6 linked regions of the Kluyveromyces lactis genome follow. The protein of the gene in region 4 binds, or shares a complex with, the protein of the main gene of each other region. Links are inferred from orthologs where the notes say so. Each region holds a gene or a part of one and is shown on either strand. Other genes may lie near its edges.

The links.
Region 1: ESA1 (region 4) and EAF7 share a complex: the UniProt entries of both Saccharomyces cerevisiae proteins name them as parts of the nuA4 histone acetyltransferase complex. The link is inferred for Kluyveromyces lactis from reciprocal best matches to the Saccharomyces cerevisiae genes ESA1 and EAF7.
Region 2: ESA1 (region 4) and EAF6 share a complex: the UniProt entries of both Saccharomyces cerevisiae proteins name them as parts of the nuA4 histone acetyltransferase complex. The link is inferred for Kluyveromyces lactis from reciprocal best matches to the Saccharomyces cerevisiae genes ESA1 and EAF6.
Region 3: the proteins of ESA1 (region 4) and EPL1 are in contact, whole or in part, in a crystal structure (PDB 5J9U), measured with the Saccharomyces cerevisiae proteins. The link is inferred for Kluyveromyces lactis from reciprocal best matches to the Saccharomyces cerevisiae genes ESA1 and EPL1. Residues at the interface, in NP_014887.3 of Saccharomyces cerevisiae: Ser153, Met154, Thr155, Gln156, Asn157, Pro158, Ala162, Arg163, Val164, Arg165, Ile171, Gly173, Lys174, Tyr175, Glu176, Ile177, Trp180, Phe182, Pro184, Tyr185, Pro186, Ile187, Glu188, Leu189, Thr190, Tyr196, Ile197, Asp198, Asp199, Phe200; in NP_116629.1 of Saccharomyces cerevisiae: Lys75, Asp119, Tyr120, Ile121, Pro122, Thr123, Pro124, Asp125, Ala126, Ser127, Met128, Thr129, Trp130, Glu132, Tyr133, Phe136, Tyr137, Thr138, Gly139, Ser140, Phe141, Glu143, Thr144, Thr145, Ser146, Tyr147, Ile148, Lys149, Phe150, Ser151.
Region 5: the proteins of ESA1 (region 4) and YNG2 are in contact, whole or in part, in a crystal structure (PDB 5J9U), measured with the Saccharomyces cerevisiae proteins. The link is inferred for Kluyveromyces lactis from reciprocal best matches to the Saccharomyces cerevisiae genes ESA1 and YNG2. Residues at the interface, in NP_014887.3 of Saccharomyces cerevisiae: Asn226, Arg242, Lys243, Ser439, Gln440, Trp445; in NP_011958.1 of Saccharomyces cerevisiae: Leu5, Glu8, Gln9, Ile11, Gln12, Ser15, Asn16.
Region 6: ESA1 (region 4) and EAF1 share a complex: the UniProt entries of both Saccharomyces cerevisiae proteins name them as parts of the nuA4 histone acetyltransferase complex. The link is inferred for Kluyveromyces lactis from reciprocal best matches to the Saccharomyces cerevisiae genes ESA1 and EAF1.

The regions. Positions count from the first base shown.
Region 1 is NC_006037.1:1,006,797-1,012,023, forward strand, and holds EAF7 (Eaf7p), read left to right. Parts: upstream 1-2,163; coding exon 2,164-3,372; downstream 3,373-5,227. Other genes in the region: SRV2 (adenylate cyclase-binding protein), read left to right, coding at 1-117; NAM9 (mitochondrial 37S ribosomal protein uS4m), read right to left, coding at 324-1,772; peptidylprolyl isomerase FPR1, read right to left, coding at 3,671-4,015. UniProt on the Saccharomyces cerevisiae protein: Component of the NuA4 histone acetyltransferase complex which is involved in transcriptional activation of selected genes principally by acetylation of nucleosomal histone H4 and H2A. The NuA4 complex is also involved in DNA repair.
Region 2 is NC_006041.1:566,950-571,037, reverse strand, and holds EAF6 (Eaf6p), read right to left. Parts: upstream 1,963-4,088; coding exon 1,615-1,962; downstream 1-1,614. Other genes in the region: AIM24 (Aim24p), read right to left, coding at 1-879; ARP7 (Arp7p), read left to right, coding at 2,413-3,729. UniProt on the Saccharomyces cerevisiae protein: Component of the NuA4 histone acetyltransferase complex which is involved in transcriptional activation of selected genes principally by acetylation of nucleosomal histone H4 and H2A. The NuA4 complex is also involved in DNA repair.
Region 3 is NC_006042.1:2,335,809-2,341,764, forward strand, and holds EPL1 (Epl1p), read right to left. Parts: upstream 4,824-5,956; coding exon 2,403-4,823; downstream 1-2,402. Other genes in the region: BST1 (Bst1p), read right to left, coding at 1-2,073; BUD27 (prefoldin-like protein), read left to right, coding at 5,578-5,956.
Region 4 is NC_006042.1:1,031,381-1,036,444, reverse strand, and holds ESA1 (NuA4 histone acetyltransferase complex catalytic subunit ESA1), read left to right. Parts: upstream 1-2,101; coding exon 2,102-3,421; downstream 3,422-5,064. Other genes in the region: pseudouridine synthase PUS7, read right to left, coding at 1-171; mRNA splicing protein PRP46, read left to right, coding at 433-1,737; peptidylprolyl isomerase RRD2, read right to left, coding at 3,524-4,606; DGA1 (diacylglycerol O-acyltransferase), read right to left, coding at 5,048-5,064. UniProt on the Saccharomyces cerevisiae protein: Catalytic component of the NuA4 histone acetyltransferase (HAT), a multiprotein complex involved in epigenetic transcriptional activation of selected genes principally by acetylation of nucleosomal histones H4, H3, H2B, H2A and H2A variant H2A.Z.
Region 5 is NC_006037.1:628,562-633,279, forward strand, and holds YNG2 (histone acetyltransferase YNG2), read right to left. Parts: upstream 2,899-4,718; coding exon 2,011-2,898; downstream 1-2,010. Other genes in the region: KLLA0_A06952g (uncharacterized protein), read right to left, coding at 1-1,762; KLLA0_A06996g (DUF4112 domain-containing protein), read left to right, coding at 3,238-3,849; rRNA-processing protein FCF1, read right to left, coding at 3,962-4,531. UniProt on the Saccharomyces cerevisiae protein: Component of the NuA4 histone acetyltransferase complex which is involved in transcriptional activation of selected genes principally by acetylation of nucleosomal histone H4 and H2A. The NuA4 complex is also involved in DNA repair.
Region 6 is NC_006041.1:1,912,043-1,918,221, forward strand, and holds EAF1 (Eaf1p), read left to right. Parts: upstream 1-2,206; coding exon 2,207-5,224; downstream 5,225-6,179. Other genes in the region: CTM1 (cytochrome c lysine N-methyltransferase), read right to left, coding at 1-306; protein-transporting protein BCP1, read left to right, coding at 889-1,707; KLLA0_E21473g (uncharacterized protein), read right to left, coding at 5,340-6,179. UniProt on the Saccharomyces cerevisiae protein: Component of the NuA4 histone acetyltransferase complex which is involved in transcriptional activation of selected genes principally by acetylation of nucleosomal histone H4 and H2A. The NuA4 complex is also involved in DNA repair.

The sequences.
Region 1 (5,227 bases), on a different chromosome or scaffold from region 4:
ATCAACACTCCAACTGGTCCCGATGGTGACTTCGTTGAAGTTCCACTTCCAGAACAGATGATACACACTTTCGTCGAAGGTAAACTACAAACCAAGATTTACGAACATGCTGGTTGAATATCTGAATAGTATATCTTCTCGTTACTGGGTGTTAGTTTATTCTTTACTCATTAGAACATATAAATATATATATATAATTAATATAATATGATACGATAAAATAATGATAATAATATGTACAAGGTTTCCAAGATACACCATTCTTTTTAAATTGTCATAGTCACAGTGTATCCATTCTTTCGTGTGTATTTGTTTTCGTCAACTTATTTACCCCTTCTCACATAGTACATGTATGAACGTTCATGTACAGGTAAGCCGAATGGAGTAATAACTTCAGATTGACCTGGACGTGCAACAGGGTCTCTTAAGTAGACCGCATGACATGTCTTGAATGATATTTCCAAATGGTGTGGTAGAATGGCGAATGGTGCTAAGAAGGGTCTTGGTTTCCACGGAGTGAAATATGGTTTAGATGGATCGTTACGACCAAACACACCCTTTTGCCATGGTAAATTGATAGCTTTTTGAGCAGCTGGTTCGTTTTCCAATAGTTCAGGAACATTGATCTTTTGATGCAATGGTAACTTTTCAGCCCACTTAGCATCGTATGGAATATCAACAGAATCAACGGATGCCATCTTGTCATTATAATGTTCTCTGACCACGGTTTCATAGAAATGTCTCAAATCAACTATAGTATGATTGATGGCTCTGAATTTTTTCTTTAAGGCATCGTTTGTGTTATCAACAGGTTTAGTTATTCCTGTAGCCACCTTTAGCAATTCACCTTGTTCATTAGGAATTTCAGCCAAAGGCTTCCCTGCTATCGTTTCCACAGCCTTGGCAGACTTGACTTCTCTATAAATTTCGAATCCTTTAGCTGCCAAATTTTCGTTATTGTAAAATTCGCCCAAGAAATCTTTTACTGCCAATTTTTCTACATCGTTAACGCGGTTAACGGTAGAAAAGATCTTAGCTAACAAATACTCGTTACTGGTTTGGTCTAATTCTTTCCTCATTTGAATGTGCATGGTTTTGTTGTAGTTTTCGAGGAAGGATAAAAATTCCTGTTTCTTTGGATCGTTACTATCCATAGTTCTTAGTTTTTCGATCTTTTCATCCCAGAACTTTCTAGGATTCTTTCTAGCCTCTAGAATATATTTGTTCCATAGGAAAATTTGGGTATTATCCACTTTCAAAGCTTCCTTCAAGCTAGGTTTCTTGGCACCAAGAGCTTGTAGCACTTTTTCGGGTCTGACGTTGAAAACATCACCAGCTTTCAAGGCATATCCCGGAGAAGTAATCTTTACACCATTCACATGGACGTTGCCATGTAAAATAAACTGACGAGCTTGTCTCACTGACGAGGCAAACATAGCTCTAAACAAAGCAAAGTCTAGCCTTTTCTCTAGTACAGCGTATGTTTGTAATAGAATGGGCGTCGGTTCGATATCACCACCCCTTAGAGAAGCATCTAATTGAGCCACAGAGTTTAGCTGAGGCTCGAAAACAGACTGCCACCTACTCTCTGTTAAATGTTCGCCATGGTAGGCACGAGTTTCCTGTTTAGAAGTCCATTTCTGTTGGTATAGTGTTTTCGATCTAAAACTGACCTGAGATTTCTTATACAAGTTGAACAAATTGTACTTGTTAAAAGAGGTACGAACCTTCCCTCTGGACAAAGAGTTCAGAAGTACAGCTTTCCTAGGCATTGCTGGTCTTTTTCTTCACAATGTATTGACAAAACTAACCAGAATTGACTGCTTACGGACTCTTCGAAATGGAAATACATTGCATATCCGAACTACCTGCATAATATTTTTCAATCAAACGCTATCTAATGCTTGAAGCTTTCCGATATTGAAAAATTTTTAGAGGAATTTCGTGACATATGATATCAAATATTAGCATTCATAGTTTAGAAAGATGAGAAACACCATAGAACCATATTGAGATGGACTGGCGAAGATGGTATCAAGCCTCATACGATCTGCTTTATCAGCGATCTTGATAGGAACTTTATTATATCAATTGCAAGAACGTTCTTTTGGTGTATAAGGTTGTGATACTTCAGATAAAAGTAATACGATACGGTTCACTGCGATGTCCGCTGTAAAGATAGAATCACCTAGAGGGCAAACATGGAGTAAAGTGGAGGAAATAAGGCTGTTTAAATGGATGATGCTGTTCAAACCTGCAGGAATACATAAACACTTCCATATGGTGTGTTTGCTTGAGCGATTGAACAAGCCAGATCAGTATCCAATCAAACTTTTGCAAAGCGATAAAGGCAGCTCAGATAAAGTGTTTTCTGGGGAGGACGTTTGGGAACAATTGAGTCGGTACTATAATTTAGAGAAGGCAGATGAAGTAGAGAACCAGCCATACCCTGAATTTTATAATGATGACGGACCAACCGAAACTACAAACAAAAAGACAGAAGGGGACGCTCAACTAGATAATGATGATGACAGTGACAATGATGTTGACAATTGTGACGAGCTTAAGAGAAATATAATACCATTACAAAATAGACTCCAGCAAGAGACGGAATTTGAACTATCGTGGGAAGATTATGGAGAACTTATGTTAGAACATGCTAGGGATCATGAGGTGGAAGATATTAAGCAAGAGGAGACCGCTTCTGCGGATGACAAGGCAAAACTGAAGGGTGCGGAATCACAGGATACGCAAGTAGAACAAGAGTCAGAAGAGCCACGGGAACGAGAAAAGGATATCGATGAAAAGGATACTGAGCAAAATAATGTACAGGCGAAACAAGAAATGGCGACCACTCCGCCAGTCAGTGTTGGAGAATCTGTGAGCGAACTGGCGAATGAACCTGTCGATGAACCTGTCGATGCTCATAAGAAACCAAGGACAAGACGCTCTACAAGGTTGACACGTTCACAAAAGCGAGGCATTGATGACGAAAGTGAAAACAAAGAAGACCAACCCCATGGCGGAAACACCGATGAAAAGGAAGATGTCGAACACGATACAGAAGGGAGATCTGGTAGCGAAAAAGAATCGACTGCTGATGCCGCAGATACTACAGCTACAAAACAAGTCACATTTGCTGATGAATCTGAAGGTGCTGCCAAGGAATCAGCTAATTCGCCGACAGGGAAAGCAGAAGAGAACGAAACGGAATCATCTCAACAGCCGCGCCCTAAGAAACAAAAAGTTGCCGCTGCGGAGGAAGTTCCTGAAGATCTTGCCGACGTGGATTCTCCAGCTAGGAGAACAAGAAGAAAATCCATAACAAAACCAACTACAAGGCTCTCGAGCAGGCTTAGAAGCAGGAAGTAGTTGTTCTTGATTGTTTTTTCAATAATGCAATAACAACATAATATAGCTAATGGTTTATATTATAGGCATTTCGTTGATGTACAAAAATTGAATGTTAAAATGGAAGCATACAAACACTACGGCTACAATTTGATAGCAATTCCCATGTTGAAAGGTTGATGAGAAGGTACGGAAAGATGTAAAGCTATAATAATAATAATGGATGGGACCAATTGGAAGGAATCAAGGGAGAAACCAAAGAAAAAATGTGAAGGAAATTAATAGTATGTGTTTTATTCAGAAGAATGACATTATACATCTAGTTAATCTTCAACAATTCAACATCAAAGACTAAAGTAGCATTTGGTGGGATCAAACCTGGGAAACCACGTGGACCATAAGCGTATGGGCCTGGGATAGTTAGTCTTGCCTTTTCACCAACGGACAACTTTGGAATAGCAGCATCCCAACCCTTGATAACTTGACCTACACCAATGTTACATTGGAATGGAGAACCTCTATCAACGGAAGAATCAAACTTTTGACCGTTTTCCAAAGTACCAGTGTAATGGATTGTTACCAAATCGCCTGGTTTTGGGAAGTTGGTACTGTCACCTGGTGATAATCTTAGAATTTGAACGTTACCTTCAATTGTTTCGGACATTGTTTCTGCTGTTTGATGTGTGATAGCTGAGTTATTTTAAAACTGCAATACAATAACGGATTAAACTGACACAAAATAGCACTCAATTGGCCTCGTAATTGCAACAGTTTCGTGTAGAATGTAGGAATCCTTATTATAGAAATGAAAACTTTTTGTTTTCTGAACGATAATGATTTCTAGAAGCAGTGGTAACGTATTTAATGACTTCAAGACTTTCAGCATTTGTCACGTGACTGCATTCTTTCTTTCTTACTTAAGCAATCACTTTTCGCGGAAACATGCCTGTAAGAGGTTTGAGCAGACGCAACGGCAGCACAGCCAACATTCAGGTCAGTTCAAATAAAGATCATCGAACCTTTTAGCATAGGGTTTTTAAATCACCTGAAATTGTACATTCCTGAACAACAACCGACGTCACTAAGCCGTACTACATCGAATATCCTACGAAATATCTCATTTGCTATTATGCTCTGTCCGCATCTGTATGTCCAGAAGTGTTTGAGATTTATAATTGCTTGATAATTAAAAGGTGAATAACTATAGCAAGAGCCAGGTTTTCAAAACTTTGAGGTATGGTGCTTTGTAATTCAGCCCTCATTTGCTTTATTTAGAATTAACGCCTCGATACCTGTTAAGGGAAAGTGAGCAAATTCTTGGTTACTGGGTCTAGAAGAGAACATTTCTGGAAAAGCAGGTTGATCCTAATTGTGCTGGTCAACTTGTAGTCGAGTAGATGTGAATTCACAGTAGCACATCGACTCTTATTCATAAACGGAATTGGTGATACTTAGAGCGGCTTATTAGCTAACATGTTATGAAGTTTCATTTAGTATTGCAAAATATTCCGTTGACTGAGCCGCAGAAAAGAAACTGCCCAGCGAATATGTTACGTCGTACAAAAATGTACATAGTCTTGCAATTCAGTTCCGTAACCATGGGCTATCGAATGAAAGGTGGACTAAAGAGTTCTCCGATTTCGTCTTCACAGTTTCTCAATGACGGATCAAATGGTTCTTCCGCATTTTTTGCCTATTCTGTTAATACCACTGAAAGCAAGTTTCGACTCGTGCACTGTTTCATACTGTTTCTAGGCCCACAGGCTGAAATAAAGTTATTCGCGTTGATCGTTTCTTCTTTGTACATTCAAACTTCTTTTCTTTTGTTACCACTTTCAGCCAACTAACCTGCTCCTAGTGATGATGTATTGGAATT
Region 2 (4,088 bases), on a different chromosome or scaffold from region 4:
TCTTGGTCCCTTAACCCTGACGAAATCGGTATTGCTCATCGTGTGCCAACGTGTCTTCAAAAACTCTAAGGTTGTGTTAACAGTTTTCATGAAGGCAATTTTGTCCTCGTTATTGTGTATCGTTTCTGGTTGTGAATCAGATTCAAGCGATTTTGAGGTCTGTTCAAAAGTGACAGCCTGCTTAAAATCTAATTTGTTCAAACCATTGAAGGCTAGAATTCTGTTCTTTTGTAATATAATTTGATCATCTTCTGATTTTAACTCTAGTTTATAGACAGATCCATTCCCATTTAACAAAACGTTACCACGTCCCGACAGTTTCCCGTAGCTCCTGAGAACCGTCACCTTATTCGATATCCATCTGAAATAGTTTAACCATTTGTGGAACCATTGGATGGAGAGCGAAGAATTCCCTTCAAAAGATACTACGCTCTTTGGGTTCAATACTATCCAATCCTGTGTACCGTTTAACTGTAATACAGATAGCGTATCTGAAGACTTACGAGATGATACCAAACAGTTGAAGGTGTTGGTTCCCACAAGTTTATCAAATCTGCTTAACGAAAGAGTAGGCCAAAACGTGAACCATTTATTATAAGAAACATTAACGTTGGATAATCTATCGGAATCGTGTATCGATACGATAGAGTTGTGCCTCACATATAATGGGATCGAAGGTGAAACTTGTATCGAGGCTAATGTCGGGTTGTCCCCCAATAGTTGGAATTGTGTAGTAGTAACATTAGATCCATCCTCTCTAGTGGTTTCAGCATGGTTATCAAACAATGGTTTCAATTCTAATTGTGATCCGCTCAACACATTGGATGGAATCACTGTTGTTGGTGACGGCCTTAAAATCGAGATAGAACGCCTCCACATATTTTTTCTTTTTTCGCTACTTTTTCTCACTAAGAGAGACAAAAACAGTTATTTGCTTCAATTGATGTCTAATCCGATTAAACGATCAACAATTGGGTACCTTTTCAAACGCTCCTAATCGACAGCAATTCACGATTCTGTCTTTGTTCTCATTGGTTTGTTTGAATGTGTAATTGCTGCTCTATCTTTTGTTATAATAATATCTAATTCTTTGAAGCTGAAAATTTCAAGGTTTTGGCAGTTTCTGAAAATTGATTGGCTGAGTGATACTCCAATTAACAATCAAGAATGGAGGTTAGAATTCATGCTAACCACACATACATACACCATTACATAGCACCTGAGTCTCATCTAAGACATTGGGACAATTCGGTTGGACTGGAAATCTGTAAACGATTCAATCCTTTGCTTCTACGAGTAGTTTGACGCAAGTTTTATTGATTAAACTGATTCTATGATCGTTGATCTGACGGATGAAAAGAAAAAGAGGCCTCTCAAAAATTAAGGGTAAGTAATTGAAAATACTTTAGGAAGAGAGAATACATAATGTTACAAAGTGATTAATTATCACGAGCATTTAAAGAGTGCTTCAAGAGAAATAGATGCGGGGTAAAATAATACCGTTTTTCTTCCCCCTCCCTTAGTTTCTCTTGTCTCTTGTCTCTTGTCTCTTGTGTCCGGTGTCCTGGACCTGGATATGTCTCAGTGAAGAGGGCAAACAGATAAGCTTCCTGTTCAATCATTGGACTTCGTTTGTTCTTGATGATTGGAAGCAGCCAATTGTTTTGCAAAAAGGTACGAACTTAATGAAAAAATGCGATCATTATCGTCCAATGGCTGGGCATTTGACGAATGTGAGTGGTCAGACAATATCTGCTGCGCAGAACTGCTCTTGTTGAAACCCTGAAACCCGAGCAGAATGTTCCCCATTCTGGAAGATGGTTTCTGTGATAGATACTCTGTTTCTTTATCGTATACCTCTTGCTCTAAACTATTCCACTTGGCTTCGAGTTGTTTCTTCTGTACTAAAGCATCTCGAAGCTTCTTCTTTAGTTTCTCGTATTCTTTCTTTTGTTCGTCCATAGTTGTGTGAGATGAGTGTTAGGTTATGTTAAATCACTTTACCGATAGAGTAGAACACAATCAAAACCAGATTCAAATCCGTTCGATAGCGGATCGTCTGTTTCATCCTTTCTTGTTATTATATATGCAAATTGGATGTTGAAGTAGTGCGTTCTTTCAAACAATATTAACATTGGCGACGAGTCCGGGTAACAGTACTGGAACTCAGTTTGGAATTTGAAATTCGAAGAACCGACGAAAAAAAAGCCAACATGTAAACATCAACATAAACAGTGTTATCAACTCTAGTATCCCGTTTAAGAGCCATAATTTTCCATTGATAGCAGTTATAATCGGCAAAAACAGGTAGCTGTTGAAGAAGTTAATCCTTATCTGCTTTTGAAAATTGAAGATCTTCTCTTTGTTCTGGTGCATATAGAGTGATTACGTTATATCTATTGCAAGTTCAAGATGCCGACCATGAAGAGTGTGGTGATACAGATCTCGCAGACTAGGGTTATTTGTGGGTTCAGCAACCAAGATTTGCCGCAGTTAATTGTACCATCTCAATATTTGGCCTATAAAAGAGATGGATCGGATGTTAAAGTTTTCGGTAAATGGGAAATGATAGAGCATTGCGACGATGAGAGCGCTGAAATATACCAATTGTACGATAAGAACGGACTTCCAAATGATTGGGATATGATGGATGCTCAATGGCAGTACATCTTTCAAAGCCTAGGCATACAGTTCGAAGACTATCCAGTATGTGTTGTCTTACCTTCCGACTTAAACAGTGCGCGTCGTAAGAGATTTATGGAACAACTGTTGGGGTACGGTTTTCCAATGGTCCAACTTTTGAATGAGGCTGTCTGCAACACGTTGAGTCAGGGAAGATCGAGTGGAATTGTGGTGGACATTGGCCACAGTGGAGTGAAAGTGGACGTTGTCATTGATGGTGTTCTTTTCAAACAATACCGCAAGGAGAACAAGATCGGTGGTGCATTCTTAAACTGGCAGATCTGCGATCAATATTTGAAGCAGGATTCGGGCAAATCAACGAAAATCTGGAGGGATGCCACTGAATGGCTACCCAACTTCAAGAATAGCATGCTGCAAGTTTCTCCGATTGAATTGGATGCTAATTATGACGTGGCTCCTCATTACCAACATATGGTGTCACCAATGGACTTGACCAAAAATTTCCTACTCGATAAGAAAACTCTCACCTTCACTAACAAACAGCTATACACCATTGGAGAACTCTTGTTCAAGCCAGTGATACACGTAAGTAACAATGCAAACGGAGATGTAGAAATGGCAGATGTCAATGACATAGAGAAAAAGCCACATCCGGAGAAATTAATTGGGGTCATTGGATTGATCAGAGCATGCATCCAAAGTTTATTAAATGGTGTCAATGCAATGTCCACCGCAGGCAGTAACACTACAGGGTCCTCCACTACGACGGGTAATGCTTCCTCGGGCAACCAAAGCAACAACAACGAGGATACGAACATCCCAACGCACAGCTACACTTCTGAACAACTACAAAGTCTACTGCTTACGAACATTCTAGTGACAGGAAGTACCTCGAACATTCAGGGTTTAGAGCAAAGAATATTGAATGACGTTTCAGTCTCCCTAAACGATCTAACCACAGTGAGGCCTAAGATCCTTTTCAAACAGACCAAATTAGACAGAAACTTCCAATCATGGCAATCTGCAACAACCTTATGCAGACTACCGTTGCGCGAATCGTTACATGCGTGGGAATCTATCGAATGAATGGCGATATCCACCTGCCCTACCTCTCACTCAACTGGCAGTATAAAAATATAATAATGTACGTACCGGATAATCTTCAAACCCAAGAAAACTTAAACCAAATAGTATTAATCCACGTGACCGGATCTGGAATAGTAATTGCGAAGAAGGATAATTTAGAGGCGCTGATCCTTTTCAAGAAAAGGTACCAAAATAGTAAGACAATACCCTAAAAGAAGGCATCCATTCTCTTTCAACAAGCATTTTCGCGTATAAAATGATAGAAAAAGACGCGTTCCGGGAAGATTTGACTCACTCCGAAAAGAAACGTAGTACGTTTCTTTTTTAGAATTTCCTCCTGGAAAAACAAAGGGACACCA
Region 3 (5,956 bases), about 1.3 Mb from region 4:
CATCAAACCAGTATCAAAGCTGATGAATTTACTATCAGGGCTGTCATAGTAGTAAAACTGGTAGCATAAGACTAAAGCAATTATCGATATTGGAATTGATGCAAAAGCTAATCTGAATCTGATATAAAGCATCTTCAATGTTAGTTTCCAGTTTATGGATAGTCTTAAAGAAATTTCCTCTCCAGGTGGGATGAAGAACATCAAATTTAATGACTTGTCTATGGTATCATCAAGTGGTATGAAGGGAGATATATTGTGCATATTGATTTCATGAGAACTTGAGGCAGCCAATAAATGCCATTTGGTTTCATATGGATTATTAACATACTGTCTCATCATCGGTCTGAACATGCTATCTATTTCGTCAGAGAAAGTTGTTTTCAAATTGAAGGAGATTAGCGAGGACCATAAATTTGGGAATGCTAGGCCATGGACAAAAGAATGTTTATTTTTTAAGGACATTCTAAAAGGGAATAAAGATAGTTTCCACAATCCGTCGCTTGCAGTTTCAATGCTCTTATCATCGCTATACTTTGCTAGAACAAAGTCTTCCTTCTTTTTCATTGAGCCCTGGAAAACTATTATTTGGAAACCCTGCAATAGAGAGCCATTTAATGAGATAAAGCGAAAAGGAGACACCGATTCTCCCCATGACGAGTCAGTTGGGAATTTTTGTAGACTTGTGGAGTGAGGAACTTTGGAAAAGCTTGAAAATCCGTTAATACAATCCTTTCCATATATGTCTTTACAAAAGAAAATATCGAATTGGACGAGTGATGTGAGCATTTCGAAGCTATAGTCGACAGACTTAGAAATATTGAAGGCATATCCTGTGGACATTGATTCAGAAGAGTTTAAGACAAGTAAATGATTCTCAGGGACACTTTCTGTGTCGCTGAAATCTACGGCTGGGGCGCTTAAGTTTTTATCGATCAATTTATCTGCATCAGTAATTCTTTCAAGTCCACTCAAGAAAAACTTTCTTCCTTTGCGCATTCTAATATCTAAAGTCGCGGTTTTTCCTCCTGCATCATCATTGACAATTTCGAGAATATATTTTGCCAAAAGATATCTCAACTGATCACACCACACTATTGCCAAATGGTCAATTGGGGTCCATAGCTCCGGTATTGTAGTAGTGAATGTAGTGAAGCCATTTGATTCAGGAACAATACCTTGGAGATTTGTATAATCGGCAGGCAATATGTCATCCAAAATACCACCTGTTATGGAGATCACAGAAACATTGTTTCGAAAATAACTGCCCATATCATTCATGGCTGAGGTCCAGTATGAGTTTACCCTGTCATAAAGTTTTAGAATATCACCATCAAAAGTGACGGGGGCTGTTGAATGAGGGGACGACAACGTCAGGATGGTATTTACAGACTCTGGTATGTGATTCGGTAGTGTAAGCATTAATCTTGCCACTATTCCTCCCATGGAATGCCCCAATAAAATGACAGATTTAGGTAGTGGGCGGTTGGATTCCTTATAGGCAGCGCTTTGAGCATACATTGACAAGATATATCGTACTGCATCGTTCAAGTATACAGCCTGATCCAGCATTGTTTGCCCATGAAAGGCAGTGAAATCCTCATTGAAATCGGCTGTGAAATAATCCATGTTCTTTGCATTGGAATTTTGAATAGTTGATTTATGGTCAAAGTATAAATTGGCACTTGCCGCAGCTATAGATCTAGCTTGTTTGAAACTTCCTGCATTGCCGGGAATAAAAAGGACAGGTATACCATCAAGCTGTATTTCATCACCATGTTTCGGCTCTTTATCTTTACCTTGTTCTCTGTATAGGTAGAGGTGGTATTTTTTGGCGAGTTTAGTGTGTCTTGAATCAAATCCATCAATTCTGGCGTACGAAGGGTACATATAGATTGATCTGCATTTAGGTGTATCTGATCCGCTGAAATTATGAGATATATGAGTGGAGGTAATAATGCATAGCAGAAGCAAGCCCACTATGATTACAAGCGTGCTTCTTTTCCTTAGTTTCTTCGTCAATGTAGGATACCTGATGCGAACAGCAGACTCAGCCGGTAAGTCAATTTGGACCATTTTAACAACTGGCTTGGTAAACCACTACCAGTATCCTAGGTATTATTCTAAATTTAGTGTTCCTAGTGAATGCACTATTCTGGGCATAGTTCATCAATCAATGCTTGCAATGGTACATAATGTTAGATGCAAGATGCCGATTTTAGATGCGTAAACCAAAAAAAAAAGAAGCTGAAGTCAGTTCAGTCACGTGATGTATAATGCAGCTCACGATGCTTAATAACATGAATTATCTATATTGTTACAGATTCGCATAAGAATGCGGAAAATACTAATTACAAGTTCATATTTATAATGGGATTTGGTGTCATCAAAAGTTTACAATTTCGTTATGCAGCAGCGTTAGGAGTAACGTGTTTCTTTGGCGGACTGGACTGATTTGGAGTTGATCCTGGATTCTTCCTAGTGTCCTGATGAGATGGTGGGGAAGAGGACTGTGAATGAGGAGCATTGTTAATGGGCTGTTGACCCTTTTGTAGCATTTGCTGTTGTTGCAGGGAATTCAGTTTCTTTCTTTTGTTGATTTGTTCCTGTCTATATTTGATGGTGGCATCTCTTAGTTGCTCGTATGCTTTGGATCCTAACATGGTTCCAAATCTTACCACCTGAGTATCGTTTGAAATTTGGTTCAACTTCGCCGGTTCGTCGGAAAACTTGGACCCGTAAATGTTGTAATTGGAATCATATTTCCAGTGATAATATGACCTGGATAAATCATCCAGTTTAGAATCATACACATTTATAACATCATTATCGAGTTCTTGCTTCTGTATTCCATCCAAATCAATAAATTGTAATAACATGTCGTTAATATTGTGATCAGTTTTTCTTTGGTCAATATATTCCATATTGAAACGACCGCGACGGCGTCTGAAAGCGATTGGAAATTCACGAGAATGAGTATGAATCTCGTTATCAAATGGATTGAAAAATTCTAACTTTTTATACTCATTGTTCTCCACAGCTTCACCTTCCTTGTTAAAAACCTTTATATCATTCGCAGTGCCAGTGATATAATTTTGAAGATTAGGTGAATAGTAGGATGTTTTTACTTCGAACTTTGAGCCAGCAACAGAAGAAAATGGAGCATCTTGGGGGCTGACGTTATCTGGTATTGAAAGGTTGAAAACAGGATTGTAAGGATCATCAGTGAGGTTGAAAAAGATGTCACCATCTTCCTGTTTCCTTTTTCTCATCCTGTCTTCAACAAATTTCCTTGTGCTTTTTTCCTTTGAATGCAACAATTTACCGACATCTTCTAACACGATATCAGGTATCTTAGAGTTAGGCAATTTAACATATACTTGAGAAGATGCCTGTTTTTGCTGTTGTTGTACATTCGAGACATTGGCAACAGGCGACTGAGCTCCAATTTCCTGCGCAGATGACAGTGATTGTTCTTTGTTTTTATTTGAACCAGTTTTTGGGCCTTTCTTCTTTGGCTCGCTTCCTTTCTCATCAGCATATAGACCACTGTCTTCTTTGTGAAGTTTCGACGATTTTGAAGATTTTGCACGTTTAACAGATGAATCTGAAGTAATGGCTGCCTGCTGCTGTTGTAGTTGCTGTTGTTGCTGCTGTTGTATCTGTAGCTGTTTTTGAAGAAGAAGTTGTTGTTGTTGTTTGATTGTACGCACCGAACTCACGAGTTTTTGTTTCTTTGCCGAGTACAAATCCTCGTTATCGGCATCTATGCCTAACTTTCTCTTCATTGTCTTCAATTGGGCTCGCGCTTGGAAGACGAACTTTTCGTTTTCTAGGACTTCTAATACTGCTCTTTCTCTTTTGGCTACAGTGAGTGCCAAATCTTTAGTATATTCCAATTGTTGGCATAGAAGTCGCAATTTTTGTGAGTTCTGAACATCTATCCGCCTTGTTTTCCTAGGTTGTCGAAGCTCTCTCCTACGGAAACACACATATGGATCATTATCGTCTTTATCATTATTACGCTCCGATTTCAATTGTGGGAAGATATCGCAACCATGACGTGATATCTTGCGTTGCTTCCAATGATCGTGTATTTTCTCTCCGAACAATTCGATAAGAGTCTCCATATTTTTTTCCCTTTTACCTAGAGGTCTTTTATTGTCAAACATTGTCAAGAATGGTTCATCTTCAGGCATCCCAATTTCCTTCGCGAGTTCCTTTTTTACGCCAGAATCACCAACATCGTTTTTCAACATGGTTGGTTTTAGGTCTGCAAATGAAAGTATACTCTCGGGATCCATGGACAGGAAGGGTTGCCTATCTTTGATGGAAGACTCAAAGTTGGCCATAATTAATTCAAACTCATCTTCCGTTAGAGGTTCGACCGAATCCGCCAGGGATTTATTTAAATCTGCCAAAAAGATTTCGTCTTCTTCATCCATATTATACAAAGTACCACAGCAATCTTCTAATTGTGCAGAAAACTGGATATAACTCGTAGGACATTTGAATTCACCTTGGTAAAATCTGTCAAACTCGTCCCAAGTTTTCGAGGCGTCTGGTGTTGGAATAAATAGATCCTTCTTGTTCTCTCGAAGCTGATTGGATTGAAGAATTTTGTATAAATGCTCTTCCTTTTCTTCATTCTTCTCCACACCAGTTTCAATCTCCATCAGCTCTCGCTGTTGATGCTGGGAACTGATGGCCGAAACATCTTCTTGTTCCAAATCCTTAATTTCATGGCTCTTATAGATCCGAAGTCGTTGCTTCACGCTGATCTTTCTGTGCCTGAACCTCGATGAATCCACTGCAGGAGCTGGCATACTGCAATGTGTCAATGCCCGTGTGTAGTTACCCTGATAGCTATGCGGCTGAAGCCAAAGAAGGATCTTTGAATTCCAGATTTCAATAGCGAGAAATATGAAAGGAAGGGTAACTACAATTATCCCTCTAAAAAATTGGTTCTTTTACGGGGGCCCAAATTTATTTTCTTCCTGTTTTCGGGGCCAAATTTTGCGAAAAACTTCACTGGCAAGCAATCGGGTGGCGGTGAAGGAGGCAGAAAACAAGGAGACCAAATCTAAAATAGGACTGAAGATAGCAGCTATTGGTACGGATTTTGCAGAACTGATGAAAGTCCTTAAGTATCACTACTGATGGTTGATTCTCAGTAGGTTTGAACGAGCCACCGGACTGTTCTGAAGCGCGTGGTTTTCCTTTTTATGTTGGTTGTTTGGGTGGAACGCAACAGTTTGTCCGGTGAATGGGGGTATTGGTTTTTTCTATATTGAAATCCGAACTTATGGAAAGAAAAAAAAATTTTTTACGTCTTCTACGGAAATATGAACGTCTCCCATAACCACCTTGGTAGACAATAGGAATTTCTGTTCACGTGACTTCCATTGGGTCAAGGTAAATGGTGATGCCAAAAATTGTATGAGCTTCTACCAAAAAGAAAAAAAAACGGAAATCAGTAACTTGACATCCGTAATGAAGTCATCTCATCGCTTGTTGAAAGAGTGAGTTATCTGAGGCAGGTAAAGAGGCTGAGAAAATCAGTCTTAGTCGTGAAACGCAATGGAAACAGCAGAAGGTGGGGCTTCTTTTGCCGAGTTAATGGATACTGTCAAAGGTACCATAGATAATTTGGTAAACAAAAGAACCTTCTTAAAGGAACAGCAGCCGTTGTATGAACAGATATTCGATAGGATAAGAGATGCTGACACGAGCGAAGATTCGGAAGAAGAATGGCAGTATGGTGAGGTAGTATTTCAGAATGGTAAGTTTTTCCAAAATATAGGTTACGATTACTATTTGGAGAAATCTAGGGAAGAATGCCTGGTTTTTATAAAGGTTCGATTGAACTTAATTGCCGAAGCCATTTCACAATTTGATGAGAAACTGAAAGAGGCACATGGCACATTGCGAAACATGGAGTTACTTCGAGACGGTGCAA
Region 4 (5,064 bases):
ACCATTGAAACCAACATTATCCATTGATAAGTAATGCGTGATACCAACATCCTTTTCAGTGATGTTGTTATTGTTTATACCTTCATTTATACCTTCACCAACTTTTGTCCTCTTAATATCTTCTTGCTGGGCAGCAGCTTCGGACTCTCTTTTCAAAGATTGGTCTGACATTATACCAATACTATACTTTAACACGAGAGTACTAATACCTGGTACTTGTTATAAGCAATTAAGAAGCGCAGCTTCCAGATTTGAACAACTGACTTCTGCTTCAATGTGATGAGATGAGATGAGATGAGCTCGAAATTTTTCAAGAAACGAAAAGAACCGTTTTGTATGATGGATATTATGAAAAGTTAACGAAGTGACATATACAAAGATGAAAGAGAGTTACACGACTTAATCGAACTGATAGACAACTAATAAGTACCAATGAATACATCCAGCCGTAGCTCTGAACCTTCGAAGGTAGCAGATGATGTTTACGTTCAAACTCGGTGGAATAATGAATTTAAACATGCTGATTATTTACCTGAGTCGTTACAGAAGTGCCTGGATCAAGAAAAGACTGTTTTAGAAAGGTACAGTGAATTAGTTGAGGTGTCGAAAACTGTTGCAAACGAAAGCTCTCAAGCATTAGTCAAACATACCACAAAACCAGGCGACCAACTAGTACGAAGAGTGTTCCAACAGCCACATCAGCAGATTTCATTGATGGAACGTTATGAAAAGACTCGAAGTTATAAACCGCAATGGCATGCACCATGGAAACTCAGTAAGGTAATAAATGGTCATACTGGATGGGTAAGATGTGTATGCGTGGACCCCGTTGACAATGAATGGTTTGCTACTGGTAGCAACGATACAACCATTAAAATCTGGGATTTAGCTGCGGGAAAGTTGAAAATTACTCTAATCGGGCATGTAATGAGTGTTCGAGATATTGCTATCTCAAAGAGACATCCTTATATGTTCTCAGCAAGCGAAGATAAACTTGTAAAATGTTGGGATCTAGAAAGAAATACTGCAATTAGGGATTTTCACGGTCATTTATCTGGCGTGCATACCGTTGATGTTCATCCGAGCCTTGATATAATAGCTACTGCTGGTCGTGATGCTGTAGTAAGGTTGTGGGATATACGATCAAGATCTGAGATAATGGTTCTGCCCGGTCATAAAAGCCCTATAAATAAAGTCAAATGCCTTCCCGTTGACCCACAAATAATCAGTTGTTCCGGGGATGCAACAGTTAGACTTTGGGATATCATTGCAGGGAAGGCAAGCAAAGTTTTAACGCACCATAGTAGAAACATCAGAGACTTGACGCTACACCCAGCAGAGTTTAGCTTTGCCAGTGTATCTACGAACGACGTCAGATCCTGGAAATTGCCCGAAGGACAGCTATTAACCAACTTTCAATCCCAGAACACTGGGATTTTGAATACCGTATCAATTAATCACGATAATGTACTATTAGCTGGTGGAGATGACGGTACTTTGTGCTTTTACGATTACAAAACAGGACACAAATACCAAAGTATGATGACAACTGAAGTTGCTGGCTCACTTGAAAGTGAGCGATCGATTTTATGCAGCACCTTTGATGTCACAGGAACAAGACTCATCACAGGGGAAGGAGACAAAAGCATCAAAATATGGAAGCAAGTCCCTGATGCTACAGAAGATACATTCCCTGGCTTGCCGTGGAATCCCACGTTAATATCTCAAAGATTCTAATCTAGCTGGTGTCTACTTGCAGCGACTTATGTAGAAGTTTGTAGTTTAACTCTATTAGGTCCCCGTTTTCCATCTATCTAGAATATTTCAGTCTGCATTAATTGCGAGGTTTGCTCTAACTGTCATATGATTACAGTCACGTAGTCAAGGACAGGGAACGTCAGGTTTTCTTGTATGTTTGTTCAAGCATGGTGTTTGCTTTAATACGGTAATCTGAATAAATTAACTGAAATTTAGCATCTTCAAAATATTTGAACTTATTAGTTACGCAATAAACCAAATCCAAAAACAGAGCACCTCTGTAAGAGGAACTAGTAAGGCAAGGCAACTGTTTAACAAATATTTTGGGCGAGCTCGCTAATACATGAGTCACGGCGAAGAAAAGGAACCTGGGATTCCCCAGAAGGTTGACAGCATCGATGAGATTTTCGTTGGATGCAAGTCATGGGTACTAAAAGATGGTCAAGATCGTCTTGCTGAAATTCTATCCATTAACAGCAGAAGAGATCCACCTAAGTTCTACGTGCATTATGAAGACTTCAATAAACGTCTAGATGAATGGATCACTGCTGATAGGTTACAGATAGACAAGGAAGTCATTTTTCCTAGGCCTAAAGAGCTTGAAGAGAAGAAAGACTCGAAGAAAAAGAAGCAGCAACAGAATAAAAGTGCTACACCACAAGCAGCCAGTGCTACTCCGGATGGTGGGGATGTGATGGATTTGGATAATTTGAATGTACAAGGGATTCCTAATGAAGATATTTCCAGAGAAGATGAAATAAAGAAGCTTCGTACATCGGGGTCAATGACACAGAATCAGAATGAGGTGGCTAGAGTTAGAAATTTGAACAAGGTGATTATGGGCAAATATGAAATAGAGCCATGGTACTTTTCACCTTATCCAATAGAGTTGACTGATGAGGATGTGGTATATATCGATGATTTTTCCCTACAATATTTCGGATCAAAGAAACAATATGAACGATACAGAAAGAAATGTACTCTACGACATCCTCCAGGTAACGAGATATATAGAGATGACTATGTTTCCTTCTTTGAAATTGATGGTCGGAAACAGAGGACATGGTGCCGTAATCTATGTCTTTTGTCTAAACTTTTCTTGGATCATAAAACGTTGTACTATGATGTTGATCCATTTTTATTTTACTGTATGACTAGGCGTGATGAACTAGGCCATCATATTGTCGGTTATTTCTCAAAGGAAAAGGAATCAGCTGATGCTTATAATGTGGCATGTATTTTAACACTACCTCAATATCAAAGAATGGGTTACGGTAGACTATTAATCGAGTTTTCTTATGAGTTATCTAAGAAAGAGGGTAAAGTCGGATCACCAGAAAAGCCGTTATCGGATTTGGGTTTGTTATCTTACAGAGCATACTGGGCCGACACCTTGATTAAGCTTTTGGTAGAGCACGGCCAGGAAATCACCATCGATGAAGTTAGTTCAATTTCCTCTATGACTACCACTGATATTCTTCATACTGCAAAAGCCTTAGAAATATTAAGGTTCTATCGAGGTCAGCATGTACTGTATTTGAATAGCGATGTGATGAAAAGGTACAAAAAGCTAAAGAATAATAAGAGGAGATCTATAGATCCTCAAAAATTAATCTGGACACCCCCAGTATTTACCGCTTCACAATTACGTTTCGCATGGTAAATAATGCATCGTGAATTGCGGTCTATGTTATTGTTTGTTAACGTTATGTTGGTATATATAAGGGTAGTTAAGTTTCGGTATACGCATCATATGTAATATTATTCAATCAAAAGGAAATAGTCTTACGTCTTTATTAGCCATTTGAGATGCCGCAATCGCACTAGGGACTGCAATACCGCAACAATCCGCCCAAGTACTATGACCATGCGATCCATCAGTACAGCATGAATCATCTTCATGATGATCTTGTGCGCGTGCTGATGGTTCACTAACGCCCTCGGGACATTTCAAGAAATATCCGAAATAGAAATGCTGCATGATTGGTAATTTTTGTAGAACCTCTGCCTTATACATTTTTACCATGCCTTCAGCAACTTTTGACCACCGTTTCACCCCGCTTATATCATCCAACATAGGTGAATGCCATCTCAAACTAGCTGTGGTTTTAACTTTATTAATGAATGCAATGCAGCCGAAATATAGATACCTGTCTTGGAACATTTCTACGACTTCTGGATTGTGAATTGATTTTGGTTTCAAATGCTTATGAGTGGATAGTTGGAATGCACCGAAAAGAAAAGGTAAAAAGTGATAGTCATCTAGACCCCAAACACCATGAGAACCAGCAGGCTCCAACCAGTATTTGAGCTCAAGTGATCTCATTATCCCCAAATATTTAATGAAAAGCATCAATACAATATTCGAGCTGTCGTTCTCCAGATCAAATACCTTTGATTCTGTCAAGCAGTACAAGAAACATATGAAGTTCAATTCATGACCGGAACCATAATCAATCCTTGACCTATCCCCCCAAGAGTTAATGAAATACGTACAAATGTCATCCAACTTCCCTGTGTCAGGTTTTTCAATGCCTTCAAATATCTTTGATATTAGCTCATTAGAGTGCTCCGAAATGTCATCATAAAAATCCCTAAATTCGATCTTACCGAATCTCGAGGTATTAGCATCTTTGATAACCTCATGCTTCCCAATGATTTCTGTTACTTTTGATAACAAGTTAGAGACTCTTTGGACGTTATCACTAATTGGTTGAGTGTAATCATTGTTCTCTCTGCCCCGTACACTCAATGCCAAGGTATTAATAAATCCAATCACGTCTTCAAACGTCTTGGAGTTATTCCATAACTCCATATCATGCTCGTTAATTAATCTCTTAATAGCCATGATTTAGCTGGAAATGCTGGTTGCAATCGTATTGCGTCGTGTACAGCTCTACTTCTGTGATGCTAAGAGCCATCCTTTAATCTTTTTCTTACTAAAAAGGTTCTAAAATATGTTCGGTTTCTTATAGTCCCGAAACGATTTGTTACGGTAGGTAAACAACCTGCACGGAATATAAATAAGTGGGAAAGGATATATATTGATCGACTAAAGAAGGATGTCACTGTTGATGAGTTACGTGAGAATTTGTTAGTGACAGAGTAAGGAAACGGTGAGACTGAGTACAACTCACAAAAGCGGAGGTTTTTTCGTTTTAGCAAGGTTTGGATTATTTTACTTTTAATTGTAGTGTCTGGTGGTAATGCAGATATATAGAGACAATACTGAATGCTGCCTCACCGTCGAGGCAGTATCATATTTTATTTAGTTTTTTGGTAAAGAGTTTCATTCCACTATATTTA
Region 5 (4,718 bases), on a different chromosome or scaffold from region 4:
CCAACGGTAACAGTTGACACATTAACTGGATGACTTCTTCGTCCTTTGTATAGATATTTGCTATGCTCCTCTTGTCCACGTTGATTATCAAACAGTTTAGCAGTCCAACGAATAAACTAGACCCTATACCGAGTTCAGCACTCAATTTGGCACAGTTGGGTCTTCTACATCCAATGAAATTTCCAATTCGTGTACTTGATGAGATACCGACAGAGAATGGGATCATGTACAATAACGCTGCCGTGGTGGAAACAGCGGATTGGGCGGCCAAGTATGGAGTACCAAAATAAGAACTGAATAGGGTTAAAATCTCATAGGATAGATCTTCTGCTTCTAACATCACGATACCGGGAACAGCAAGTTCTGACAAAGCTTTCCAATGTTTTAAACTCTTGGAGTTAAACCCACCCCAACATTTGTATCCGTCCACGTATATAGCATATAACGATAGCAAGGTGACCATAGTCCAAAAATTGAGTACAACAGCAATAGGTGCTCCGATAAATCCCATACCTATTCTTTCATTCCACACCAAAGTGTAACTAACAAACATGTTCCAAGGAGCACATATCATTAAAACGTAGATCCCTGCATCAAAGATACCTTGTGCTTGTAAGAACCGCTTTAAACTTTCGAATATGATGTAGGCCGGAGCACCGAGTATACTGACTCGAAGGAATTTCGCGGTCATATGGATTAATTCTGGTTCATGCGGCATTACTAAGGTCAACAATGTTTCAGACCACCACCATATAAATCCGAACGGTATGAATACTGTAAATGAAAACATGATACAGCGCTGCATGTGAACACCAACACTGTAATAATTCCCAGATCCGTAGGCTAATGGACATAGTGTATCCAAACTCGTGGCTATACCTTCAAAGATAGCATACGTAATGTTTGTGGTCATTGAAGCCAAAGAGACCGCTGCCAATTCTGTCCTCCCCAAATGACCCACCGTTAACGAGCATACCACGGGGAACATCTGTTCCAATAAGAAAGTGAAAATCAATGGGATTGAATACGATGCCAACACTTTGAGTTCACTATTTGCGGTTACTTTAGCATGGCTTAAATCTTCTTCTTTCATGCTGCCCACATCTTGAAATACCTGCGGTACTGAACCTCGACTAGTTACTGATATTAGCGACCCACGTCTCCTGTTGGGACCGCCTGCACCACTACCGCCAGCACCACCTGCATATGCTCTATCATGGAAGTCTTGTTGCAATTGCTGTCTGACCCGGTGCATAAAGTCGTCATATGCTATTACATCCGCTTGTTCTGAGGTCCCATTCTCAAGGTCCTCATCTTCGTCGTTCTCACTGTTCTGCGATGATGAGAACCTTCTCTCGTGCTCCTCTAAGAGCCAATCAAGATTTTGTTGTGATACGTTGCTTGGTTCTGATACCCTCGAGGGCAATGACACCGTCCGACTTAAGGGTTCTCCGTCCTCATCGTACTCATCTATATCTTCCAAAACTTCGTCTAAATCGTCGTAAACAGACGGTTCTCTAACACTGCTTCCAAAATCCTCATCCAAAGTGTGATAACTACCTTGCTCATCTGGATGCAACCCTCGCCTCAACCCACGATGTCTGCGTTTCCTTAAATACTTCCGTAATAACGGATTCTTCTTGTCTCTGCTCACTAAATCGAACCCTAGCGAAATGCGTCTATGGTTAGTTGCAATACCAATACCATTTGTTCGAAGCTTCGGATGAACCTGAGACAACGTCTTTCCAAATAGTGTAGCCATGTTGCCTATTGGTGCGCTTTCAGAGACCACTATTTCGATAGCTTTCGCCTGTTTTTCTGCATCTCTTCACAAAGAGCACAAGATGTCAAAGTCGAATATAGAATAAGAATCGAATAAATGCTAATTATAATAATACATTACATGATAGAATTGAAAATATTTACATATGAGGATATATATATATATATACGAGCGGCAGGAGTGAAGAAATGTGAAGACCATGAATGGGTCATACCAACCTTCGTTGATCATTGCTTCTTCTTCTTCTTATTTAGTTTCTGATTAGCAATTTCCAGTCGACATTCTGGACAATACCACTGACCCTTTGGAGGTTCCGTTAAGTTGACACAACTGTAATGGAACCATTCGTATTTACAGTTTGGACCATCGCACGCCACCATCTCACCGTATGATACTCTTTGGCAGAAACAGTACAACTGCTTGTCGTCTTCTTCGCCGCCTTGGTTCATCTTGAACAAATCATCGTTATATGCCAAAGCATCGAAAGTCGGATCTCTACCGATACCAGCGTTAGGACTCACGTCACGAGACACTGTTCCTGCACGCTGATGAGACCTAGATCTCTCTTTCTTCTGCTGTTTTCTCTTCTGTCCTTTCCCGTTCGCTGATGATGAAGAGGCTGGCCGTTTCCTACCAGAACTGGAACCTGATCCAGCCGTTCCGTTACCAAGGCCAGCGATTCCAGCTCCTAAATCAACAGATCCAGCCTTCTTATCCGAAAGCTCATCATCCAAGGGTGCAAGTAACCCATCTTCCTCAAGTGACTCGATGTTGGCCTTGATCTTGCTCAAATGTTTCGTTACTAGATACAATGCTGTATTGGCTAATATGCATTTCTGTTGTTGCAAATCGCCGCATCGCTTCATCTCTTTTTCTACCGTCTCAGTAATGGATCCCTCTTTAGGGTCCTTGGTCAACGAACCATGCTGTTTCACAAGTTTATGAAGCACGTAATCCTCCCGTAGGTACTGCTCTCTTGAGCTCACCAGGGTTTTATCTGCTACCTGCATTTCATCCATGATATGATGGAACTCTGATTTCAAGTTCGCAACATCCTGTGTAGCTTGCTCCAACGCACTCGAAGGGTCCTGTGGTCGTTCGTTAATGCTACTCATTCTTCCATACAGCCTTCCAAAATGCTAACTGCGCCTGCCTAGCGTTCTTTGTACAGCTTCTTCTCTTACATACGTATCTTTGCTATTTCAATGGAAAATTGTTTGCCAGATTGCTTTAAAGCTTTCCCTGGCTTTAAAGGCTTTGAAATAGAAAAAGTCATGATAAAGGGACATGGTTTGGTACTTCACAAACATGTTTCCATTAGTTTTTGGGAGTATTTATTATTCAGAAAAGCTAGTCCTGGCATATGAGCTTATTTGAACTCTGTTAAAGACCGAATTTACCACGATTATAGGCGACGACAGTTTCTTTTGTTAACTTTACCTTGAATCTAAACCATGGTGTTCTATTCATTTATTCTACGCAAGATTTCCAACAAGATATTTGGCGACATTAAGATTGGTGAGGGTGAGGATCCGTACTATGAGGAAGTTACTTTTGTGAAGAAGTCGTTTTGGACTGGAAATAGCCAAGTTGTGCATAAGAAGCTAAAGAAAGCAATTCCAGATTATGTCCCATTAAATGACAGAACAGTGTTGCAACGGGTTAGGAAAAGAGCTTACAGGCTTGATATGATGTTTAAGATATTTGGGATGAGAGTTGGATGGCTCGGTATCATTGGACTTTTGCCAGTGGTCGGTGACCTAATATGTTTGTACTTGTCATGGACAGTGTTCCATGAAGCACAGAAGATTCAAGGTGGTTTGCCTGTGCCCTTGCAGGCAGAGCTCTTGGGGAACATCTGTATCGATTTCCTATTAGGGTTGATTCCCATTGTTGGTGATATCGTTGGGATTGCTTATAAGGCAAATTCCAGGAACACACTTGCATTGGAACAATACTTGAGAAAGAAATACGGTGGTGAAACCATTGCCGCATCTCCTGTAGAATTAGGTTCTGTCTCCCCAGGAAGGGACCCAGACTTGGTAAAAGGCTTGAAACAGACATAAGCGAGAAGCCGTTTGTGCTAATGTACAATTATTATCCTGTTAAGAAAAGTTATATATATATATACATACTCATACCGCTATGTATAATGCTAAATCCCAGTTTTATATTATCCTAGAACACACCCGGTAGCTTCTCAATCACATAGGAGTGTCCTCCAACACTCATCAATGGGATCCCCGGCACTTTCCTCACTCTCTGCTTTAAACCAGCATCGTTCGTGGCAACAATGTAACACTTGTGCTGCAACACTCTATGAACAATACAGTCATCCGCATAAGTACCCTTATGCGAACAACTTAGCCTCTTGATTCGCGGATCACGAGCTAGCTTCAACGCTATACGATACTTGGGACCCAACTTCTCTAATTCAGCCATCACACAGTCTGTTATCAATATGTTACACTTGGCCAAAAGACAATCCATCATACCTTTCACTATGTCAATCTTCTTTTGAATAGAGAAATTGATGAAATTTGTATCGATGAGTACCTGATATGGAGGCTTGATAGCTTCATTATATTGGAAGAACAATGCACTGGATACTTGTGGAATGTTTTTAGTCAACTCAGGATCATCTTTCTTAACCTCTTTTGCCTGGTTCGATTTGAGTCTTGAATCCTTCTTTGCATTCAATGTCCGCTTCACAAGCGCAAACTTTCTGGTCTTCTTAGCCTTACCCATGACACACACTAATATTACTCTCCCTAATACCGATATCAGAATAATATCTAGCGAGGTACGGAAGTATGTATTCCTGTTTGCATCTGCCTCATCTCATCTCATCTCATTTCATCTCATCTCGTCGCTTGTTCATATTATTAAAACGTGAAAGAATAATACTAAAGGTTTTTTGAAAATTTTCAGTGAA
Region 6 (6,179 bases), on a different chromosome or scaffold from region 4:
TGCGTGGTGATTTTCATCGCTTAAGAAAGCTGTCAAGTGGCCCTTTATGGAAGCAGTAACCGCATTTTCTGATGTACTTTTAGCCAATATGTCTCGTATCGATGTCATTGATATAGTAGCAGATCTCGGAATCCTGAGAAGTTCAAACTTACTGTCTTTCTCTCCTTTAAGTGTTCTTAATTTGGTGAAATTGACAAACACACCGTAACCGCCGGTGTCTCCATCAACCACTGACTCTCTGATAGTAGTACATTCACTCTTGGTTATGGGAGTATTCTCTAGTAGCCATTCAGTTGCTGCTTCCATCTTATATTGCTGTTTGTTTATGCTTGTTTATGGATATTATTGCATCATAATAATGGTACTCAAGCAAGCAGGATACTTTTTATATAATTCCATTGATATGACATAGAAGAAACGAAGCAAAAGGTTTTACAGTTTAATTTAGGTCAGGTTTGAGAGTTGATTTAAGTAGGGTGTATATATTGAGTAGTGCTTTGCAGTTGCACTTCGAGTCGCTAGTGATATGTTCCCAGAGGTATCTTAAATATGATCACGTGCTTCTAGATGAACCATGACTCCCCTACTGCAGTCTTCTAAAAGATAAAACTTAGGATTACCGTAATAGCAATTCGCTGTACACGATAACAACTGACAAGGGACTCGCTGATTGATATTTTAATTATCCCTTTCATTTTTACATTCTTGACAGCATCGCATGTCATCTTTACCTTTTCGAAAAGAAACTATTCTTTAAATTTGATGCAAACCTGCATTTGGCGAGCTCATCACTACTTTAGAATAGATTCGAGGAAGTTTCAAAGAGATAAACAATAGTTATTAGTTGGGCTTTATTAAACCAGCAACAACACTCTATTTTAGTCTGCAATGGTCCAGGTTGTTAAATTAAGTGCATTATCCAAGAAACGTGCAGTCGATGAGGAATCTGATCTTGACATATCAAGTACAGACTCAAATATTTCAGACCAAGAAAACGGTCAAGAGGAACAAGAAATCATCAACATCGATTTTGATTTCTTCAATGGTAATCCCGACGTTGATTTCCATGCTTTGAAGAATCTGATGCGTCAGTTGTTTGGACCACAGGAATCGAACAGAATTCAACTAAGTGAATTGGCAAATTTAATCTTGGACTCACCAACTACTACCATCAAAACCGATGGTAAGGAGTCTGACCCATACTGTTTCCTATCATTTATCGATTACAAGGCCAACAAAGATAGTGATTATGCCAAATATCTTCGTAAAGTTGACCCCAAGCTAGCTACTTTCCTACAAACTATAGATCAATCGGAGAAGACTTGTTCGTTAGTCTTGAGTGAAAGATTGATTAATATGCCACCAGAAGTTGTGCCGCCATTGTACACTATCACATTAGAAGATGTGAAGCTTGCGCTTGGGGATGATAAAAACTATGATTTCTACCTAATCGTTTCAAGGAAGTACGAAGTGAATTTTGATATGGACGAAGACGATCTAACATCGAACCAAGCTGTCCGCAAGAAGGTAAGACAAACAAACGAAGTAGACTATTTCCATGAAGAAGATCGTTTCCTTGAAAAGCTAGCCAAAGTCCATGTGGATTCCGAGGCGAGAAAGGGTCTTATTACATCGTACATGGTTTTGGACCATGCTGGACTAATTAAATCCATCGAAGATCTAGATGCGGCCATCAAGACCTGGTGAGTGATGTAAATGTTCAGTAGTTACATTGAGGAAGGTGATGATGGTATGTGGATTAATCCCGTTCTGGGAACCCAACAATTAACGCACGTGACCTGATCTTTAGTTACCCTCCTTACATGATTTCGGCCTCCCAAAAGAAAAAAAAATCTTTCAAGGAACAAAAAAATTGCTGAACAACATGAAATACGTACTTATATAGTAGAAATCGAGAAAACAAGCCGTAATACGGTAACAGAACAGGACCGTGAGAACACTATTCGACTCAGTTTCAAAAGTACCTGACACAGAAAAGCCTTGTTTGGTTGGACGATCCTGTTGTTTGTACAGAAGCGTGCTGTTTCCGAGACAAGCCCTCGCTAAAAGAAAAATCAGAGGACCCAGTTTCCTTTTTTTTTTTTTGGATATTTTCCTATCACTTGCCATTCAGACCGAAAGTTATATTTTTTCAACGTGACAGATATTCACAGAACATCTAATAGAAAGTAAGGATTTCAAGGCGATGAGCAGTGCAAGCAAAGGGAATGCTACTGGAAGTAAGAGCCCAGAGCAGCTCTTAGAGGAGAGACGGCACTTGCTAGTACAATTGTACTGTATCTCACAAATTACCGAGTTAAAAAACGTGGAGAATCATGAGAGAATAGGGAAGGAGATAGAAAAGTTTTTAGATCAACATACCTTGATCAAGGACAAGCCTATAGATATTAATGCATTGCCTAAGTTTAGGCCGAGAGACGTGTCGTCAGATAGGAAGCTGAATAACAGGAGTAAGAGTTCTTCACCGTCAGAAGTGAAACGAGAATTGAAGAAACAGCGGTCGAAAGACGTGTCGCCAAGTGGAAGCGAGGAACATGATGTGGATACGCAGACACTCCCGCAGTCTCAAACAAGGGTAGTTCCACGAGTTCAGTCACAGCAGTCAATTCAGCAAAGTTCAAGGCAATCTATGGTGCAAGCGCAGTCATCTCGACAGCTGCAGCAGCAACAACTGCAAAAGCAGCGATCGGTGTCTCCCACACAGAAGCTGCCGATAACACATAATAATGTTCCTCCTGTGGTAGTTCAGGCACATATGGAACCGAAATCTGTCCAATATCCGGAGACCCAATCAAAGCCAAGTACTTCTGGAAAGCGTTTGTTAGATGAGGAACAACAAGATATTTCCGAAAATCAAATAAGTAAAAGGCAACGGCTTGATAGTGGAAACCTATCTAATTCTACCGCTGCACGTAACGCTGCAACAATGGAAATTCCGCCTCATCCTTATTCTCAGATGATAGACATCTCACAATTGCATGCTGACCCAACACCAATTGGGGTGAAAGAACCTCAACCCTATATTATAGAATCTATTATCAACAATGTATCAAAGGAAGAGCGTAAGACGTTTTTCGAAGATGACATAAATGTGAAAGAGGCGGTATACATGATTACGAAAGAGAACGCGCCAACCAAGTTGGCAAAGGGTATGCCCATTCAAGAAATCAAATACTTATCCCAGACTTTGCCCTTGCTGAGATTGATACCACAATCTCAAAAAGCATTGACGACTGATCTGATTAATACTGCATTGAATGAAAGACGAATCACTGTAGTAGCATCAAGGATAGAGGAATTGAGAAGGCTGAATCTCTGGTCACTTAGACAACCAAGAAAATTTATCGATCCCGTTACCGCTTCACAACCTGTAACTCATCATAATGTGTTGATTGAAGAAGCAAAATGGATGCGTGAAGACTTCCGTGAATCGTTGAATTATAAGATAGCCATGTGCACTCAAATGGCACAGGCAGTTATGGAATTTTGGACTTATGGTAAAGTATGCTGTATCAATTGTAAAAGTATTCCACCGCCATCAAAGGACATAGAAGATATTGCTTCCTCCCAAGATATGGGAACAAAAATCAGTACAGTTGAGCCAGAACAAAAAGATAAAGAATCAAACACAAGTCCTGATCAATCCAACGATGATGGGTCTTCTAAAATTGCTGAAGATGTGGAGATGTCAGAGGATGGTGTAAAATCAAGTACCGGTTTAACTGATGGGAGTGAAGCGGTGGAAGAGAAGTCTGAAAATGGTATCAAAGAGGGGGACAAGGAAACTGATAAAAACTCATCTGAAGAGCCTACCATAGACATACAAAAGTTACTAAAGAGAGTTAACCCCAAAGATGAAATCGTCGCTCCATCTCTTCCGGTTACCTCCATGGAAGTTTATTTAGCTAAGAAATCATCCTCTCCCTTCAGGAATTACATTGATATAAAGGAATTATCAACACTGGGAGCAGCCATTTCAAACTCACTCCCTTTGTATGGTCTTTTGGACGAAAAGAATCTCGATTCTAGCAGACCATTGCCCTTTGAACCGGTTTCAAAGGCAATTTCTCCTCTTGACGAGGACCATTTCATGAAATTAGTAGAAAAGCAATTTGTTGACGAAGAACCATCTCTAGTTCCTTTATCAAAACGACGTGGTATGTTTTATGGAAATAGACGTAGCCATTATCTTCGCCCTCCTAATGCGCCATCATTACGCTATTTGAAATTTCGTACACCCACCATCTGGTTACCTGAAGATGATCAGGAGCTTGTCAAAAATATAAACCAGTATGCCTATAACTGGGACCTCATTAGTTCTCAGATGTCCAATCATCACAAAAGAGAATATGTTTCAAACATCGAACGTAGAACCCCTTGGCAATGCTTTGAGCGGTTCGTTCAACTAAACGAAAAGTTCAACATTGCAGATATGAAGGGTCCAAAGGCTCATAATGCACAAATATGGTTGTACGAAGCTCATAAATTACAGCAGCAGCAAAAAAGGAGAATATCTCCCCTTGGTGTGGGATCGGAATCCATACAACGAGGACATAGGCGTTTACGCTGGGCAAGTATGTTTGAGGCAATGAGAAAGTGCATTAAAAAAAGAGAAAACGCACCCAGACCAAATCCTTCGCAGCCGCGTAAACCTTTTGATGTTAAGAATATGAGTGTTCCAACCCCTCAAGAAATGTCAGACTTAAAAGCTCAGCGTGATGAGGCCTTGAGAAGGGATATGCAAATAAAACGTGCTGCCAAACAAAGGATGCAGATGGCTCAATTGCAGCAAGGAAAGCTTCCTCTCACTACAGCATCAAGTCCGAATTTGCCTATGGCAAATAATCCTAACTCAAAGGATTCAAGAATTAGGTCTAAGCAGTCCACTCCCCAGAGTGCACCACCACTAGGTGAAAAAGAAAAGGTTACAACTCAAACTCCCACACAGAGAAATACGAAACCGGCTAATAAACGTGAAATCATTGAAGGATATGCCAAAAAAATACTTTTTCAGAAACCCAATTTCACTCCAGAACTTGCTCTAATGGCTGCTGAAAATATTTACAGGAGCTTGCCATTGTCTGATCAACAAAGGAAAACTGTAATTTATGACAATGTTGCACAACCGAAAGTGCGTCCACCAGAGATGAAACATTCTTCTCCGACGCCTCAAGAGATTTTGCAACGTGCTCAGAAAAAGTGAATACAATTAATAATATATAATCAGTTCATAATCACAACATTGATTCAAGCAAAGAATTACGAATAATGAGTCCTTTTGTTATAATCATTATTTCAATATATATATGTATGTAAATTCAAACATTTGGGAAAGTGTAAACAGCAGATTCCTCCTTTGGTACGCCGTTGGCTTTGTAGGATACTTTCCATTTCACTCTGAGTGGCTTTGGGGCATTCTTCACTGCGTTATCAATCCAACTTTTTTGATGGATTCCATCCTTTGCATAGGATGACAAAACAGTATTTGATTGTGGTAAAAGTCTCAATTGTTGGGCTTTAGGAACCGCTAGCATTAATGTAAGGTCTGTAAGTTGCGAAATTGACACATTTGAAAAGAAAGAAGTCACCTTGATGGTGCTTTCTGATTCTCTAGAAATTGCAAATTCAAACTTCAAAACATCTGACTGGTTTACAAGGAAACGGTCAGACACTATGGAAGGTTGAGTAGAATGTTGAACGGCTGGTGCTGAAAACTCACTCAATAAGTCATTGCTATGAGTATCTTGTTGAGCTTGGACAGGTGATGGTGATGATAGATCACTCAACAGATCGAAATTTGAGTTGGTTGTGGTAGTTGTGGTAACAGGTACGGCAGGAGATGCATGAGCTGCTGTGTCCAAGGCTATGCTGCCCCCAAATCCAAAGTTGTTGTTGTTGTTGTTGTTGTCAGAGAAATTCAAGTCATTCAGACCGCTCAACAGGTCATCTTCTAAATTGTTTCTGGCAGCAGCAGCAGTAGAATTTGAAGAAGAACTTTTATTAACTTCTTCGTCATCAAAATCAATCAAATTTATTTCATTGGCTAACGCACCACCATTATTAACAGATGAGGAAATGTTATCGACATTAATTTGATTTGCTTCACCAGCATGTCCTGCTTTCAATAAATCATACTTTTGAACCAATTGGTTGACCGT